Linked DNA regions of Caenorhabditis elegans. Each later gene encodes a partner of the first gene's protein in a complex. Each region holds a gene or a part of one and is shown in the gene's direction. Other genes may lie near its edges. The genes, in order: mec-6, mec-10 and mec-2.

Region 1 (5,490 bases):
GAAAATAAAAAGAAGTTTAACTTAGATTTTAAAAAACAAAAATGTTGGAATAAAAACAGTTTGAGGGGGTACGTTTTCGTAAGGGGATTTTTTCGTAAGGAACGCTTTCAGTAGGGCAATGTGCGGCGCGCCTTTTCGCAAGCCCGCCGCACAGTCCTTCGCAATGCGCCGCACGGCTTTTTGCAATGCGCCGCACGCTTCTTCGTATTTATTTATTTATTTTTCCAACAGGAAATTTCGAACGGAATTCAATTAAAAACGGATTTTTAATGGAAATTAATTAGTTTTATTCGAGCTAAATACGGATATTTTCAGAATTTTCGATGACAAAAACGGGTTTCAATCGATTTCGAATCGATCAAAATTAATATTAATCGAAAATGAGCGTTTCCTTCCCGGAAAAAGAAGAACTTGATGCTGAGAGTGATCCAAGCGGAGCCAAACGCTTTTTTAGAGGCAAGTATTGATGTCTAAAGATTAATTGAAGAGTGAAAAGTATTTTTCAGCGTTCACAAACAACCCGAGTGAGCAGCAATTTTCCAAGCTGAAGGCAAGTTTCTTTTTGTAGTTTTTTAAGTTCTCAAATAGGTATATAACATCGATTTGTTTTGTTTTCCAGAGAATGTATCATCACAACGACTATCAAAACCTGCGAGGAGTGATTCAAAAGACCATTCAACTATCAAAATCATTGATCCTAGACTTGAAGAGACGATCCGGAAATCGAACAACCGCTGTGCCATTATACAAAAACCCCGATTTCTGTACTTCAGTGTTTTTGAATTATACCGGTTTCAGTGCTTTTAATGAGAAACTTTTCCCTTTTATGGAAATTCCGAAATGCTATCACTGATCTCTTTGTTTACCTCTGTGCCATTAGATTATAGAAACAATTTTCCATACTCAGGTTATCCAAATTTCGCCATGATTTTTCTTACTTAATTTAATCGAATTAACTTTTGTTTGCAGTTTTATTTTCCATTTCGACTGAATAAAAAATCACTTCTATCATTTTAATCGTTTGGCTCCGCCTGGATCACTCTCAGCATCAAGTTCTTCTTTTTCCGGGAAGGAAACGCTCATTTTCGATTAATATTAATTTTGATCGATTCGAAATCGATTGAAACCCGTTTTTGTCATCGAAAATTCTGAAAAAAATATCCGTATTTAGCTCGAATAAAACTAATTAATTTCCATTAAAAATCCGTTTTTAATTGAATTCCGTTCGAAATTTCCTGTTGGAAAAATAAATAAATAAATACGAAGAAGCGTGCGGCGCATTGCAAAAAGCCGTGCGGCGCATTGCGAAGGACTGTGCGGCGGGCTTGCGAAAAGGCGCGCCGCACATTGCCCTACTGAAAGCGTTCCTTACGAAAAAATCCCCTTACGAAAACGTACCCCCTCAACAGTTTTTTTGGTAAATGCAGTTGCGCTCCGATGATAATATGTCGCAACGGAATGGTGGGAATTCAAATAAATTATTCTGTGTACACACACCAACAAGCAACAAAAAAAAATGTTTATGAACTTTTAAAAACGGAAATTAAAAATTGCAGAATCAATTATCACAAACTAATTATGCATTTGTCCATCATTTTCTGAGTTAACGCTACACCCATTTAAAATTCACAACAGACTTGCCAAAAGAAAATGAGAAGAACGGAGGAAGTGCTCACCAAGAGCAGAAGAAAGCTCGTTCAGCTGAATTCTTCCCTCTATCTCTGGTTGCCTCCTAGTTTTCAATACTATCTCTCCTTCAGCAGATGGCCACTGGGACCAGCCGTTTCCAAGGAGGTCCACACAGTCAAATCCTTTGTTTTAGTATATGCTGTATGTTTTACTTGAGAGCGGAATATCCATTTTAAACTTTAAAAGTGGTCCGTTGTTTTGACTTTTCCGATATAAAAATTGATAAAAGCTCACTGAACTTGATTAGCATTTCATTTTATCTCGACTTTAGAAAGTAACCTTCCATCCAGTAGTGATCCTTTTAAAAAATGAAAAATGTTAAGTGTTCTTTATTTAAATCAGGTTTTCTATTTTACAGAAAATGGGTCTCCAATCGGCAGCTGCTCATTTCATAAATCGTTTTATTATTTGGATTACTATATTTATGGTTGCATGCTTTTTGTTGAGACTTTTGTAAGTTCAAGGGCACAATTTTAGTGATTATATTAACTTTTTGGTTTTCAGAGTAGTACTTGATCTCAACAAACGTGTTTATAATCACACACCTGGTCCCTGCAGAGTTCTAACAGATAACTGTAAGTTTAAATTTTTTTGAATTTTAAATTTTGTAACTGAAAAAAGGTTTTATTACAATTAGAAACACATTATGCGGATATCAAAAGTAAAAAATTATAAAAAGAGTCATCCATCTATATTCCAGATAAAGGAACCGCCGGCATGACATACGTCGAATCTCAAAAACGGGTGTACATAACATTGGGGTACGGTAGAGCACACGATTTGAAAACAAAAACTGGCATCGCATTTTATAAAACAAATCGAACAGATGGAAGGAGTCAGCAGGAAATGTATGATTTGATTGAAATGACAATCAATTGGAATGGTTATGAATATAAGGTGTGTAATTTAGTTTGAATAGCCTGAAAAGAATTGAAATATTGATTTGCTTCAGCAGTGGGGGCAATATAATGAATGAACTACTCGGTGATTGAGAGAAACTTTCTGCCAAACTTTTGCAAGTTTCAGACAACATTTTGAAAATGAGAGACTTAATCAGATCAGCAGATTGGTAGCTTATCTGAGCAGTTTTAACAGCCAGGAAGCCAGGTTGTTGGCAAAAAGTTTTCCCGAGATCCGAGTAAGAAGCCCCAATCGGGAAAGTTATATACTTTCGAGAATTATAATAAAACCTGAAACCTAGAACCTTTATTTTCAGAAAGAGTTCATTCCAACAGGAATTGATTCATATTCTTCATCAAATGGTCGTGTACTTCTCTATGTAATAAATGCTCATCCAAATCATCAATGTATTCATTTCTTCCAAATTGTTGAAAGTTCAAAACTTAATCATCGAAAAGCAATATGTGATCCTTCATTTTCAAGTCTCCAGGATATTGCTGTAGTAGGACCAGATCGACTGTTTGTCACAAATATGGCTGCATTTGGGAGAGGATGGGCTCAAATTTTGGAATTTTCATTACAGGTGAGTTGACCTCCAATTATGGAATCATATCAAATGACAATCGGTTTATTACAGACTGGACAAGGAGCTGTATACTACTATGATGGTAGCAAACTATCAACTGCTGCTTCCAGCCTGATTGCACCTACGGGAATTGGATATGACGCAAAACGAAGAATTCTTTATGTTGGATCTATGATCAGAGAGGTTTGGAACGTTTTGGTAAATTTCCAAATATACAAAACAATTTGGGCTTTTGAATAAAACTTCGAGACACTTCGGCGGTTTTTTTTATGCTGAAATTGTTTCAAGTTATTCGAAAAGCTGCCTTCACAAAATTTTAAACACTTTGTTTGTTTCGATGATACGCATTGGCATTTTCTAACTTTTCCCTGGGATCACCTATGTTAGAAACACGGAAGTCATTAAAAAAAGCTAAATAGTTTCGCAGCATCTGCCAAGAAGATACAATTCTGAGGTCTACTGAAAAAGTTGTTGCAACCGACAGCTTTGATTTTATATTATTTCTGTTACGTTTCAAAAATATAATTTGTTTAAAAAAACTGTCCTGAAGCACAAACAACTTTTGAATGAAGAATTTTCAGTCAATATTCGCTTACAAAGTAGCGAAGGATACAACACTTGAATTATTGTATGAAATGATGTTATTGACATCACCAATTGGAGTTTTCGTTGAATCAAAAACTGGAGATATTTGGATTGCTGCTCATCCAGTTATTCATGAATCTGCATGGCATTATACTCATCCAGAAAATCAAAATATACATTCTCCAAGCCAAATTTTGAGAATAAGGATACAGGTTTGTATTATTTTTGTTTTTATTTCAAAGTTTATTAGGCAGAAATTTAAAACTCAGATCTGAATACAGTGTTTCTAATTCAATCTTTAAAAAACGATTTATTTCATTTTCAAATAAAAATAAATTTTAACCAGCAACTATATAGTGGAAAGATTCCTGTTCCAATTTGAAGGGAGCAGTTCCTGCGTAGATATATGGAAATATTATATAAGGCTCCACAAATGACATTATAATAAATAAAAATAAAACTAGAATAAAAACCTTGAAATTAGTCAATACCATAATGAATTTAATGAAAAACAAGTAATCTCCGGAGAGGTTTAAATATATAAATTTATTCGATTCAAGTGTTCTTATGACTGAAACACATGATATGTTCGACCACAGACAAGGTACTTCAGACTAAAAATGATTGAGACAAGTGTTGTGAATATTGGAAAAATTTAGTTCCGTTTCACGAGATTTCGAAAAATTTTGAAGAATTTTGAAACTTTTTCTTTTTTTTCGAAGCATTTTTAGTGCATCGAGCTTTCCCAGTTTTCTTCTATTTATTAAAATAATCTAGGTATTCTACCCCGTTCAAATTTTTTTGTAAAATAAATTTGAAACTTCAATATAATAGCTTCTTTATCATTTGTAAAGTATCAAATTACGCTAACCAAGCACTTTGTTCCCATAAACATGTTGTCAAGACTCGAACTTATCAGACTCTGTTTCCACGTTTTTTATCAATTCATTCAAATACTAATCAATGCGAAAAAGCGTCAAAAAATCAAAAATCGCATTTGTTTCAGGAAGAAGGCAACTCTTGGGTAACAACTGAACCGTATGCAAACGATGGAGCAACTATTTCGGCGAGTTCATCAGTTGTATTCACTGATGAACAAATGTTAATTGGAAGTTCATTTGGAAGACTTCTTCATTGTGATCTTACGCATTCATATATTACATAGTCAAACTTTTAGAGCTTATTTAAAAAATAAACCGATGAATATGATCTAGAAACAGATGTGTTGTAGACATTGTATCTAGATTTATTTATAAACTTGTCGAGGCGTAACGGGGGCGCCACGCCTCCACCCCTTTTCAATAGCCTTCCAGCGTTTTAGAGGAAAGTCGATTTATGAGAATTTAGCAGCTTTCAAATTAACTAATTTCTCGTCACAATTAGTCATTCTTAGTGTCTTGATTCGAAGTCTGATAATATATTTCTCATTTATTGCCATAAAGAAATAATTGTAATACTTTAAATTTCAATATTTACTATTAAATATCACAGGAAGACAAGAACAAAGCTCATGTTGGGAATTGAGAATCTATTCGCGAACGTACTCGCGGCGAGAAACAACGGATCCAGATTCAAGAGTAGTGATAAGCTTGTCTCCTTCGAGCCAACGGGTGATAATTGATTCCTTATCAGAGTCCTTGATCTTCTTTTGAATGTGAATGAATTTTCCGTTCTCGAAGTTGACAACTGACTTGACGGTACGGCCATCTGGAGTGGTCTCATCGAATTCC
Region 2 (7,142 bases), on another chromosome or scaffold:
TAATTTGTAATATGTTGATCTTTCAATCTTTGAGTTATTTGCAAAATTAGCTAGTTTAGTACAATTTGTTTTATTTTTCAAAGAAAATATGTAGTTTGCCATTGCTCAACTTTTTCTTTCATTTGGATAATATGTAAGGGAATGAGTGAGCAGTAATTGCAATATCTCACAACACATCGCACGTATTTTGAGCTAAAACAGGAATCAAAGTCACTTAACATTAAATCAATAGTATATAAATAGTTGACTTCATTGTGTTGTATATTTGAAGTACTAAACCATAAATAGCTTTTCAAATTTTTTCGAAATGTTTTCAAGCAAATTAGTTAAGATCCGGCTATTTTTCTATCAAACTTCTTAAAAAAAAGAAAAACAACTGAAAGTTTTACAGCTCTTACTATTAGTCATGACATGTCGAACCACCGTAAAAGTTTTGTTGAAAATTTTCTGAAGCAGTCTGGTTCTGAAATTTGGTGAAATTTGGTTCAATCATGTTAATTAGAACAAAAACCCAGAATCGCTACTTCTCTTTTAAAAGCAATAATTCAATCGTCCTTCCCGCTCTCACCTATGGTTCAGAAGCCTGGACATTCACCAAAGCTCTATCCGAACGAGTAAGAATCACACATGCCTCCCTAGAAAGACGGCTTGTGGGAATCACACTCATTCAACAACGAGAATGAGATCTTCATCGAGAAGATATTCGTGAAATGTCTCAAGTAAGAGATCCGCTCAATTTCGTGAAAAAGAGGAAGCTAGGATGGGCTGGACACGTTGCGAGAAAGAAAGACGGAAGATGGACCACGCTGATGACAGAATGGCGCCCCTGGAACTGGAAAAGGCCTGTTGGAAGACCGCCGATGCGATGAACTGATTCGCTGCGAAAGGAGATCACGACTCGGGACGCAGACGGAGAAGTCATCACCCCATGGTCCACTATAGCCAAGGACCGAAAAGAATGGCTTGCTGTGATCCGCAGGAATACCACGAATTCCTGAAGAACGGATCGTCTAAGTAACTAAGCAAGTAAGTAACAAATCATGGTTTCGTCAAAGATCAAAACAATGCGCATTCAAAATTTAGTCTCGCAGCATCTATTGTTTTGTCACTTCTATGTATTTGTCTCGCTCCACTAGGAGCTAATAAAACATATGTTTTGTATTCAAAGTTAATAGAACAATTTTCATAAAAAGGATTAAAAGACAATCCTCGCTCAAGCTATACCCTGCAAAAGTGGAAATCTGGTAATATTGTTGGGGCGCTCCCACGGTGTTTTAAATTAAGCCACGTCCAAACTTGAGACTGAAATCCAGTTTTGGATTGCTTCGCTTCCCAGTTCGGTCTAGGTGAACTTGTCGGAATGCAGCACTTGAACTGGGAACCCATATTCAGTTGCTCACGGCCACCAGTGCCGACTGAGCAATCCCATACCAATTATATTTCAGCAACCAATCAATTTTTATGGGCTCAAATTAATAAAACACTGAAAAGTTAAAATATGATGATGCAATTATTTCTCTTCAGGCATTGTGTTGGTTTTTTTTGTTCTATTCGACCATTGCGAGAAAATTGTCAATGATTAAAAGTCCTCTTAAGAAAGTAAACATAATTTAAAGAAATTTCCATACATCAAGTCCACATGATAATCACGTATTATCTTTGTGCTCACTAGCTACACTTCTATCGATATTTTGTCATCTCTCGTCTTGCGAAATGTGCAAACAGCTATTCTGTAACAGTATAATCGGTCGGTACGTGGTGCTGTTATCAGGTAAATTTCCGTTTTGCGTGACTTTTGACGCACCATCTCGTCTTACTTTTCGATGAAACACACGATTCGATGAGAACATTAAAGTTCATCTATGAACTATCACAACGATAGAATGAAGGAATTTTTTGGGATGGGGAAGTCATGCATAGCTGAGAAACGTGCACAAAACATCCGATTATGGGAAAATGAGTCCCACTTACAAATGCATTCGTTTTGTCGAATTGGTCCAAGCGCTTCACTCGGTTCTTAGAAAACGTCCGTTGATTCTGTTATTTGTACAAAATTCAAAAAATGAATCGAAACCCGCGAATGTCAAAATTTCAACCAAATCCTCGTAGTCGCAGTCGATTTCAAGATGAAACAGATTTGCGTTCGCTCAGAAGTTTCAAAACCGATTTTTCAAATTATCTCGCAAGTGACACTAACTTTCTGAATGTTGCGGAAATTATGACATCTTATGCTTACGGAGAAAGCAATAATGCACACGAAAAAGAAATTCAGTGCGATCTTCTGACAGAAAACGGTGGTATTGAAATTGACCCGACAAGATTATCTTACAGGTTTGTCTTTTTCTTCGATTATTTGTGATTTCATACTAATTTTTCAGAGAAAGAATAAGATGGCATTTACAACAGTTTTGCTATAAAACATCTAGTCATGGTATTCCAATGCTTGGGCAAGCTCCAAACAGTTTATACAGGTAATAGGCATATTGGGAGGGAGCTTCATCTTAAGAAACAGCAGAGATATGAAAAAAAAACCAGCTGTTAGCTATTTTTAAAGTTTTCAACGGTCATAATAAAAGTGTTTAGTTTATTTAATCAAAAGATCATTGAAGAAAAATAAAAAATAATAAACAAAAACACTTACTTCTCCTTTAAACAAAATTATCTAACAATATTTTTTTGTGTTTGACAGTAAACCAACCCATAAAACCTTTTTCCAGAGCTGCATGGGTATTCTTGCTTCTAATCTGTGCTATACAATTTATCAATCAGGCGGTCGCTGTGATTCAGAAGTATCAGAAGATGGATAAAATCACGGATATACAATTGAAGTTTGACACAGGCGAGTGGTTTCTGAGTTCTTCAATACGATCTTAAAAAGTGTTTTGAAAATAGTAGTAACGCATTTTTCACCTTTATAACTTTTACTTTAAGTTTTTTGTTTCCGTGCTTATAATAATATCATGTCACTGTTTTTAACTGCAATACAATACGATACCATTTTCAAAATATTCCAGGTGTAAGTTTTTAGTTTCCGTTTTTTTCAGCGCCCTTTCCTGCAATTACTCTTTGCAATTTGAACCCGTACAAAGATAGTGTCATCAGATCACATGACAGTATTAGTAAAATCGTGAGTTTCTGTTTTCCCGAGAGTTTTCCCCTCTATTCATATTTTTTTAGCTTGGTGTATTCAAAAGTGTTATGAAAAAAGCTGGTGATAGCAGCTCGGAAGCATTGGAAGAAGAGGAGGAAACCGAATATGATATGAATGGAATAACTATCCAAGCAAAAAGAAAAAAGAGAGGAGCTGGCGAGAAGGGAACATTTGAACCAGCGAACTCGGCTTGTGAGTGCGACGAGGAAGACGGTTCCAATGAATGTGAAGAAAGATCCACTGAAAAGCCATCGGGCGATAATGATATGTGCATTTGTGCTTTCGATCGGCAGACCAACGATGCGTGGCCGTGTCATAGAAAAGTAGGTCACTCTCAAAGCTTTGGTGTATTCCGCCTATTAGTTTGCATGAAGCAACTTGTTGCAAAAAAAAGAGAAAATAGAAACGTCAACAGATTTTTTTCAGGAGCAGTGGACAAATACTACATGTCAAACGTGTGATGAGCATTATTTATGCAGCAAAAAAGCTAAGAAAGGTATTGCGAGGGAGGCGTTTGAAAAGGATGCAAGTGTTGGTTTTCCGATCTGTGTGGACCAAAAAAACACACCCAACGAGAATATAAAAATGAGAAATATGAACAAAGAAACAAAGAATGTGCAAAGTACAAGTTACATAAGTTACCAATTTTGTAGGAACCAAAAGATCGGAACTCAAGAAGGAGCCGTGTATTTGTGAGAGCAAGGGACTTTTCTGTATTAAGCACGAACATGTGAGTTTTTTAGACTTTGCGTTTGGAGGATACGTAAATTTGAAATATTACTCGAGAAGCTCATAAAATTGTAAAAACTTCGGTAACATTTAAACTTCAGAAACTATTAAATTTGAGAAAATTTAACGGTGATTATTTCCAGCAGGTTTTTCAAAGAGTCACTCATTAGACAGTACATTTTCGCAAAAGGAAAATTCCAAAAAAAAATACAGAAGTATCAGATTAAGTTTTCAAATAAACATGCTGTTAACTGAAGTCCTGAAAATTACTTCCAGGCTGCAATGGTATTGAATTTATGGGAATACTTTGGCGATAGTGAAGATTTCTCTGAAATATCCACAGAAGAAAGAGAAGCATTGGGATTTGGGGTACTTTTGGATTAGTTTTTTTTTAATTTTAATTGCATTTTCCTTTCAGAACATGACAGATGAAGTTGCCATTGTAACAAAAGCCAAGGAAAATATAATTTTCGCCATGAGTGCTCTCTCGGAAGAGCAAAGGTTACCTTTCTTAAGTCTACGTGAATCATTTTAGTAGTTTTTCATTCCAGAATACTAATGTCGCAAGCTAAACACAATTTGATCCATAAATGCTCATTCAATGGAAAACCATGTGATATCGACCAGTTAGTCAAGAGTATTGTAGTGTTGAAAAAATGATTTTTCCAGAGATTTTGAGCTAGTTGCAGACCCTACATTTGGAAACTGTTTTGTTTTTAATCACGACAGAGAGATTTTCAAGTCCAGTGTGAGAGCTGGACCACAATATGGTAAGATTGGGTGGATTGTAACTTAGTTTTAGTTTTTTTCACAATTTAACAATTGAAGAAAAAACCAATAATGTGTCTGAAAATTTGCCAAATTGTGCCAAATTGACGAATTCTTACAAAAGTTAGGAACATTTGATACGGTTTCAGCAGATATATTCAAGATTGTTTCTGCCATTTAGGAAACATTCTAGACGTTTACTATAGAAATTGAACGTTGTTTTGATGTTTCCATTTTTTAGTAAATCCCAATTCTCATATTTTCTAGGCTTGCGCGTAATGCTATTTGTAAACGCGAGCGACTATCTGCCAACTTCCGAAGCCGTCGGCATACGATTGACCATTCATGACAAAGACGATTTCCCATTCCCGGACACTTTCGGCTACTCGGCACCAACCGGTTACATCTCGTCGTTCGGCATGCGCATGGTAATCCCATAATTTCTTGCTAAACTACAATGTGTTTCTCATAAAACTTCAAACATTTCAGAAGAAGATGAGTAGATTACCTGCGCCGTATGGGGATTGTGTAGAGGATGGTGCCACGTCAAACTACATCTACAAGGGTTATGCATACTCAACAGAAGTACGTTTTTAATTCATCATTCAGAAAACCAAAACACGAGTTATTATAAAATGAAAAATTATAAAAGAAAAGTATATGGTACACGCAACCATACTATACGAAAAGTGATGATTGTGTTTGTGGTCGTTAGGAAAACATTAAAATTTGTTAATTCCAGGGTTGCTATCGTACTTGTTTTCAAGAACTGATTATTGATAGATGCGGATGCAGTGATCCACGATTTCCGTCGATCGGGGGTGTTCAACCGTGTCAAGTGTTCAATAAAAACCACAGAGAGTGCCTTGAAAAGCACACACATCAAATTGGAGAAATTCACGGATCATTCAAGTGTCGGTGAGAGAAAACTATTCTAGTTTTGTTTTAGAAATATATAGATGCACCGGAACTTCTGAGTGCCTTGTGTTCATTGTTTGTGGAATGTTTCAAAAATTATCTTCCTGGGACTTTAATTAGGAATATAGAATATCCAGAAGTATATAATTTTATGCAACAAGTAATTTCACATTATTCGCTTCCCTGTCCAGACTATTTTCCAAGTATAGTGTTTCAGGTGCCAACAGCCATGCAATCAAACTATTTACACAACTTCTTATTCTGAAGCCATTTGGCCATCCCAAGCATTAAACATCAGTCTGGGACAGTGCGAAAAAGAAGCGGAGGAATGCAATGAGGAATATAAGTATGACCCGAACTCATTTAGAAATTTAGTGTAAAAGAATATTTTAGAGAAAACGCGGCAATGTTAGAGGTTTTCTACGAGGCACTAAACTTTGAAGTTCTATCAGAGTCTGAAGCTTATGGTGTAAGTTAAACTTTGACGTGTGCGCAATAAAAACAGAGCTTTAAAGCTTATACGCTAATTGAACTACAATCCCAAACGTTTTTTTCAGATTGTAAAAATGATGGCTGATTTTGGAGGACACCTTGGACTTTGGTCAGGAGTTTCTGTTATGACTTGTTGTGAGTTTGTGTGTCTAGCCTTTGAGCTGATATACATGGCAATTGCACATCACATAAACCAGCAGAGAATTCGACGACGAGAAAATGCTGCAAATGAGTATTGAGAGCCATGAGAAAAAAGGAGGTGCAACTCATTTTATTTTATTTTCATTTTCCGATATTAAACGAATGTAGCAGATGCACCTTTTTAATGTTTAAAAAAATTTTGTAACCAAAACTGAAAAATTAAATCTAGTTCTGTTATCATTATATAATTCGGAAAATAAATTTCTTATTTCATTTTTTGGGTACACACTTTTGCATTTTTTTTTTGTAATTCTTATTTTTATTTCATTGTGGGAAAATATAAAAAAAAAATATATTGAGTGCTTGAAATGAAGTTTGAAAAAAGTTGGTATTTCTTCTGTATACTCAGACTTCATACAAGCATCGAGCTTAGTAGAGAAGTGGCAGAGAAAAATTTGTGAATTCGGTTTTATAAGTTCTTTACTTTATAATTTTTCTCAGTCAAAACTCTTTTTAGTTTTGTGGTCATATTTTCTTTTTTAGTGGTTGAAAAAACATTTGGTTAGTTTTCAAGATTAAAAAAAGAACTGAGTAACTTATTCACCATTAAAGATTAACATTTTTTCAAAAAATGAATTATTTTTATTCTTGCTAATACATTTTTTATGAAATCATAAATTAAAAATGATTTCGTATTTTCAGTACCAATTAAGATTATTTGAGTATTATGATTTATTTATGGACCGGAACTTTCTCTTTTTACGGGAAACATTAATTTTGATTACACAGGTGTTAGCAATGGGTCTGACAGCAACTTTTCTTTCGATCAAAAGAAACATATGAATGAAATTTTTGCGTACGCGTAACACCAATACACGCTGCGTTTTTGGGATGGCAGTGACGCAAGTAGGAAAAGAATTGCTACAACCGGATTCTGTCCAAC
Region 3 (5,030 bases), on another chromosome or scaffold:
ACACTCTTACTTTTAATGCAGAGTAAGCTTCTGCTATTCTTGATTGCGTGATGGCCATAGAAGTCGCTTTCGAGGCAAAGTCGGAAATCTGTGTGTTGAGAAGAAAAGGAAGAATGAGTTAATGAGGGCTAGGAAAAGTGAGACGAGAGCTCGAAATTCCTGAGAGCACCTAAAAGCGTCCACCCAAAGAGTGTTAACGTTATGTTTCCCATTTTGCAAAATTGTCAGATACTTCAAGTACTTTCAACTTTTTCAATAAGCCCCCGCAACGACAAGGTTGATTCAATTGGTGTGCATCCTTTTTTCATAACACATACACACATGAAATACATCTTCCATACGTTATGTGTATTTGCAAAAAAAACGCTTCACACCGGAATGACACGTTTCCGCACTCTCAGTTAGCAACAACTGGAGTGTGTTCAAAACAAAAAAAAACGAGAATTCGCAACCAATCTGAAGATGAAAACGGCTAGTTCAAATGGCTTTGTGCATTCGTCATAGTTGTTTCTCAAAACACTCCCAATGGTTTTATGATACTTAAAAATATAATGAAAAAATCTCAAGTTTCACATAATCCATCTTTGTGTCTTTTTTCGAAAGTTATTCTTGACGATGGCGTGGGAAACATATAAACAATACAACAAGAAGTCAGAAGGAGGAGGATATAGTCAGGAGGAGGAGGAGTGAAAAAGAGCATTTAATGAAAATGCAGTGAATCGTAAAGGACTAGATGTTGTAAATTGTGTGTCTAGTTTAATTTTTTACACGAGGAATTCATGAATAAGAAATATAATACAAAGTAAGAAATATGGAAAATTCGAACTAACAAAAAAGGGTATACTGACAATTTTGATAACAGTTGTCAAAAAAGGACCATATGCAAAAAAATACGTTTCGTAAATAGTTGTTTGTTTTGAAAATAGGGGTTATTAAAATGTTATGGCTAAATATCATAGTAAAACAAACTTATACTCTAAAATTAAAACAAAACATTTCTTCGATACATTTTATTTCTATCTTTATTTTGAATTGAGTTTTGGAAATTGTGGAAATTAAGCTGTATGTTTATTTTTGGGTTTTTTAAACTTTAAAATTTATTTTCCATTTTCCGCCTTCAATCCAATCATACATTTATATTTTAGAACACATTTTTAAAAGTAGGTCGTATCATCCAAAAATGTATCAAATTTTTTAAAACCATTTTTTGTTGCAAATTTAAAAATCATAAAGAATTTGGATAATTGCATAATCATTTTTTAAAGAGTTTTTTACAGCACTCTGTCCCTTTGACCCATTTTCTTTAATTTCATACAACCTAAAATTATCATAGTTTTCCCCAAGAGGTAACATTGAAAGTTAGGAATTTTCATAAACAAATTGCGTTAACGTGAGGAATCTGATAAGAAACGTGGACTACTTTTAATTACAAATTTAGAGAGTGTTGAGAGTTTCAGAAGAGTTACAGAAGAGTTATTTCAGCCACCATTATGTATCTCATGATTAAATGTATTTCTAATAATAGTTATTTAAAACTATATCATTTGAAATTAATTTACGGCTTCGAAGCGTTTCGATTTTCAAGAAAATTTTCAGCTTCCCAGGTTTCCCGTTCACTGTTTCCATTCGCCTTTTCCCGCCTGACCTTTTTCCCAAGAAACTACTATTCTAAAGTCCGACCTAACATATGCATATAAGTCCTACTATTCAAGTTTCTGGCAACTTCAAGATCCCAAAACGAAAATGTTCTCGAAACTCTTGCATTACAATGGACAAGTCACGCCAGAGACAATAGGCTAGTAGCAAGTTCTTCGCTGCACTGTTACCCCTAACTGTTTTCTTTGCATTTGTAATCAGGGACGTCATATACCAATTGGAGCAGAGTCGTCTTCTTTTTGGGGTGTGAGCCCGGCTTGCTCAACGAAATCCATACATTCGAGAGTACATCCCACTATTCGCCGAGTGTTTATGTGTCATTCGTGAATCGTGTCCCAGTAGTCTGTGACTGAATGCCCACACATTCAATCTATGAGCGCCACAATGTCATCAGCTCGCAATTCGGTCGTTTCACTATCTTCAAACGGCTCTGTCAAGGTCGAGACTCGATTGGTTAGCAACGAACGGAGCTCTAGTATTCAACAGGAGGGCGCCATGCTCCCATCATCCAGCTCCAAAGACGATGATCTCTTATCAACGTCATCGGACGAAGTTGAGAATATGGCGACCAGGACTTTACAGCAACTTGAAGAGGTGTGTGTCTATTAAATTTTTTGGTTTCCGGATTATCGTATTTGTTTCCGCTGTAGAGTACATCAATCATCTCGGCCAACAGCGACGATGACTCGGTGAAAAAAGAAAAGCAAGCTGAAAAGGATGTGGAGAAAGGAAATGGAAAAGAGGAAAAAGGTAGAAACTACAATCTTTGTCACTTATTTGATTGAATTAGTCATACATATGTAGAAACTCGTGCTTTCATTTGTTAAGTGACAACTTTAAGGTTCAAAATGCTGCTTTACTCTAAAAAAATGTTCGAAATTGTTTAAAATTGTGACACGCTGTTGTTAAAGCTTTAACAACTTATTCAATTATTTAAATTTCTGAAAACTGATGTAAAATACAGTATTTTATTGGGTCATATCTTAGTTGTCCTTTGTTATATCTTTGAAAAAAAGTCAAATGACGAATGCTGTGTTGTTTCTATTTTCATTGTTCTGTAGTTAATCATTTAGTGGTATTCTCACAATGAACCTAAATTTAATTTTTCAAAATAAAACAGTGAAGTGCAATACAAATAGAGGAAATGCGGTTAGCCGACAAGTAATGCTTAAATGTAATTCGAGTTAACCTTGGTACCGATTTGTCTCACAAGTTTCTGGTTATATATACTTCGGTAATATTCTTTATCATTTAAACGTTTGAATGCGCCAGTGGAATTGTGAAATACTACTGGTAAATAAAAACCAACCAAATATAATAATAAAACGTTTCAGTTTTTGAAAATGTTTTATAGACAGTCAAAAAGTGGCGATTTCTGAGTTCATGCTACATTTTGAAAATGCTAAAAATCCCTTGTTTGGCGAGACCCAAGCGCCTACATAGAATACGGCAAAGTTTCTCACCTTTCGACTTCTACATAATATGAAAATTCATTATTTTTAACAGTCAAGTTCAACACAGGCTGGCTCATAATTTTCAATGATCCTGTTTTTTTCTGATCTCTATTTCTTGTCGTATACATGTCGTCGTGCTTCGCCAATTCTCATGATGAAATTCAATAACAAATTCTGATTACTAGTTGTAACACCTCCAATTCTGGTTTTCCTTTGTTTTTTTTCTTGTAGCAAGTTGAGTTGTTTGATATAACTGAGTTCTTAAATCTTATAAACGAAAATTAAGAAATCAGTACTAATAACTAGAAACTATATATTGAAGAAATTGGAGATGTTGTAACATTACGCGTTTGTCGTTCCTACAAAACAAAAAAAATAGCAACAGACTTTCTTAAGCTTAAGGCTTAAGGTGAATTAACAATTAACTACGTTGAACTCAACGATTCTCGAATCTGGTTGAAAACAGCAAATTTACCGACTCATTAATAGTAATTGAATATCAGTACGATTGTTTACTACTTATAAAAAATGGCAGCACCGGTTAGACGTTCCTTTTAAGTGTCATTCTTTCAAATTATCGTGAACTTCCCTTTTATTATCCTGCTCGCACCGGTGTTTTCCACATATTTTCGCAGTTTTCAGTTTTTAGTATTTCCCAGCGTTCCAGCTCACCACGAGGTACCCGACTGACGACAAAAATAATAGACATATTTAGCAGATAAGCAGTCGCTAAGTAAATGAGAATTCTACTTGTTTGTTTCGTCTTCTGTCTGTTCCCGAACCCCTCCCTGTCAGGAGTTTATGTCTGAAAGTAGTTTACGCACCTCATTTTTCTTTCTCGCTTTCATAAGCCAGATGTATATTGCCTCTGGAAAATAGCCTCTCTTTCGGGCCTCGGTTATTTGTATGTTTTTCAACTTAGTCGGTTTTTGTCGCGGGACTCTTTTTTTCCTGTTCCCTTTTTCTGAAAGTTTGGGTGTTGTTTGAAGAAAAAATATAAATAAAAAACAAACGGTGTTCTTGACATATCATTTTGAATATTATGCACGTTCTCGGTCTGCCTTTATTTTTAAAATATTTTTGGCGGCTGTTTTGTAACAAAATTCAGTTTTTATTTTCTTTAGCACAAAATTAAAAAATAACCCGTTCAAAAAGATTGACTTTAAGAATTCTGAGAAAAGACAAATTATTTTTAAGTTTTTTATTGTTCCTGTCGTCGAAGTAAGGCATAACAAAAATCTCATTTTAGAAACGATGTTTTTCACATTTTTTGTTTTGTTAAAGTTTTCTACAAGAAAAGTAATTTGGAAGAGTGAAAGAGTTTATCACAGTAGAGAACACTGCAACCAAAAAAAGCAACAAAAACATAGTCAGAAGAAGTTAGTCACACTATGAGCTTCGTCTTCTTAAACAAAAATTTTCGGTTCGAAGAATTTAAGCATTCCCTCTTAAATTTTTACGCTTTCTCTAGTTGTTCAATGTTTACTCTGAGTGCAATCATCGAGAAAACGTAATTTTCTCTCTTTTTTGGCCTTTATGTCTGAAAAATCTTTAATTAAACATAAAAGTGCTTTCGTCCTATTCTTTCTTGATTCCACACAATGGAATTAGGCATGAAGCAGATATGCAACATTGGTGTGGTTTTAAAGTCTACCTGCTCTTTTTTCGTTTTCTCAACACAACCAATTTAGGCCATTCGTTATAAATGCAAATCTCTAAATTTCGAAATTTCAGTAAAAAAGCAATGCTTTCTCAGAAAACGTTTGTTTCTCAAAATGGAAAATGGCTTCACAGTTAACCCCATAAGTTGCCAATAGTTTTCCTCATATATTTTCCTAAACTTTTTTTTTCAGTAGTTCCTCAAAATAAGCATACATCAAATTATCAAAACACGATTAAAACATTTTATGTAGAAAAAAT

The links.
Region 2: mec-6 (region 1) and mec-10 share a complex: the UniProt entries of both Caenorhabditis elegans proteins name them as parts of the non-voltage-gated amiloride-sensitive cation channel complex.
Region 3: mec-6 (region 1) and mec-2 share a complex: the UniProt entries of both Caenorhabditis elegans proteins name them as parts of the non-voltage-gated amiloride-sensitive cation channel complex.

Annotation. Positions count from the first base shown.
Region 1 is NC_003279.8:6,723,117-6,728,606, forward strand, and holds mec-6 (Mechanosensory abnormality protein 6), read left to right. Parts: upstream 1-2,047; 5' UTR 2,048-2,050; coding exon 2,051-2,142; intron 2,143-2,193; coding exon 2,194-2,264; intron 2,265-2,389; coding exon 2,390-2,586; intron 2,587-2,905; coding exon 2,906-3,172; intron 3,173-3,226; coding exon 3,227-3,358; intron 3,359-3,756; coding exon 3,757-3,972; intron 3,973-4,766; coding exon 4,767-4,925; 3' UTR 4,926-4,973; downstream 4,974-5,490. Other genes in the region: lbp-6 (Fatty acid-binding protein homolog 6), read right to left, coding at 5,289-5,489. UniProt on the Caenorhabditis elegans protein: Subunit of an amiloride-sensitive cation channel (degenerin channel complex) permeable for sodium, potassium, lithium and N-methylglucamine, and required for mechanosensory transduction (touch sensitivity).
Region 2 is NC_003284.9:8,465,161-8,472,302, reverse strand, and holds mec-10 (Degenerin mec-10), read left to right. Parts: upstream 1-1,988; 5' UTR 1,989-2,062; coding exon 2,063-2,331; intron 2,332-2,378; coding exon 2,379-2,471; intron 2,472-2,717; coding exon 2,718-2,839; intron 2,840-3,044; coding exon 3,045-3,127; intron 3,128-3,177; coding exon 3,178-3,474; intron 3,475-3,577; coding exon 3,578-3,647; intron 3,648-3,804; coding exon 3,805-3,881; intron 3,882-4,156; coding exon 4,157-4,249; intron 4,250-4,298; coding exon 4,299-4,381; intron 4,382-4,431; coding exon 4,432-4,506; intron 4,507-4,549; coding exon 4,550-4,650; intron 4,651-4,915; coding exon 4,916-5,076; intron 5,077-5,137; coding exon 5,138-5,233; intron 5,234-5,390; coding exon 5,391-5,566; intron 5,567-5,783; coding exon 5,784-5,912; intron 5,913-5,959; coding exon 5,960-6,035; intron 6,036-6,123; coding exon 6,124-6,297; 3' UTR 6,298-6,543; downstream 6,544-7,142. UniProt on the Caenorhabditis elegans protein: Subunit of an amiloride-sensitive cation channel (degenerin channel complex) permeable for sodium, potassium, lithium and N-methylglucamine, and required for mechanosensory transduction (touch sensitivity).
Region 3 is NC_003284.9:5,573,941-5,578,970, forward strand, and holds the start of mec-2 (Band 7 domain-containing protein), read left to right. Parts: upstream 1-2,028; coding exon 2,029-2,250; intron 2,251-2,306; coding exon 2,307-2,406; intron 2,407-4,005; exon of another isoform or gene 4,006-4,060; intron 4,061-5,030. UniProt on the Caenorhabditis elegans protein: Subunit of an amiloride-sensitive cation channel (degenerin channel complex) permeable for sodium, potassium, lithium and N-methylglucamine, and required for mechanosensory transduction (touch sensitivity).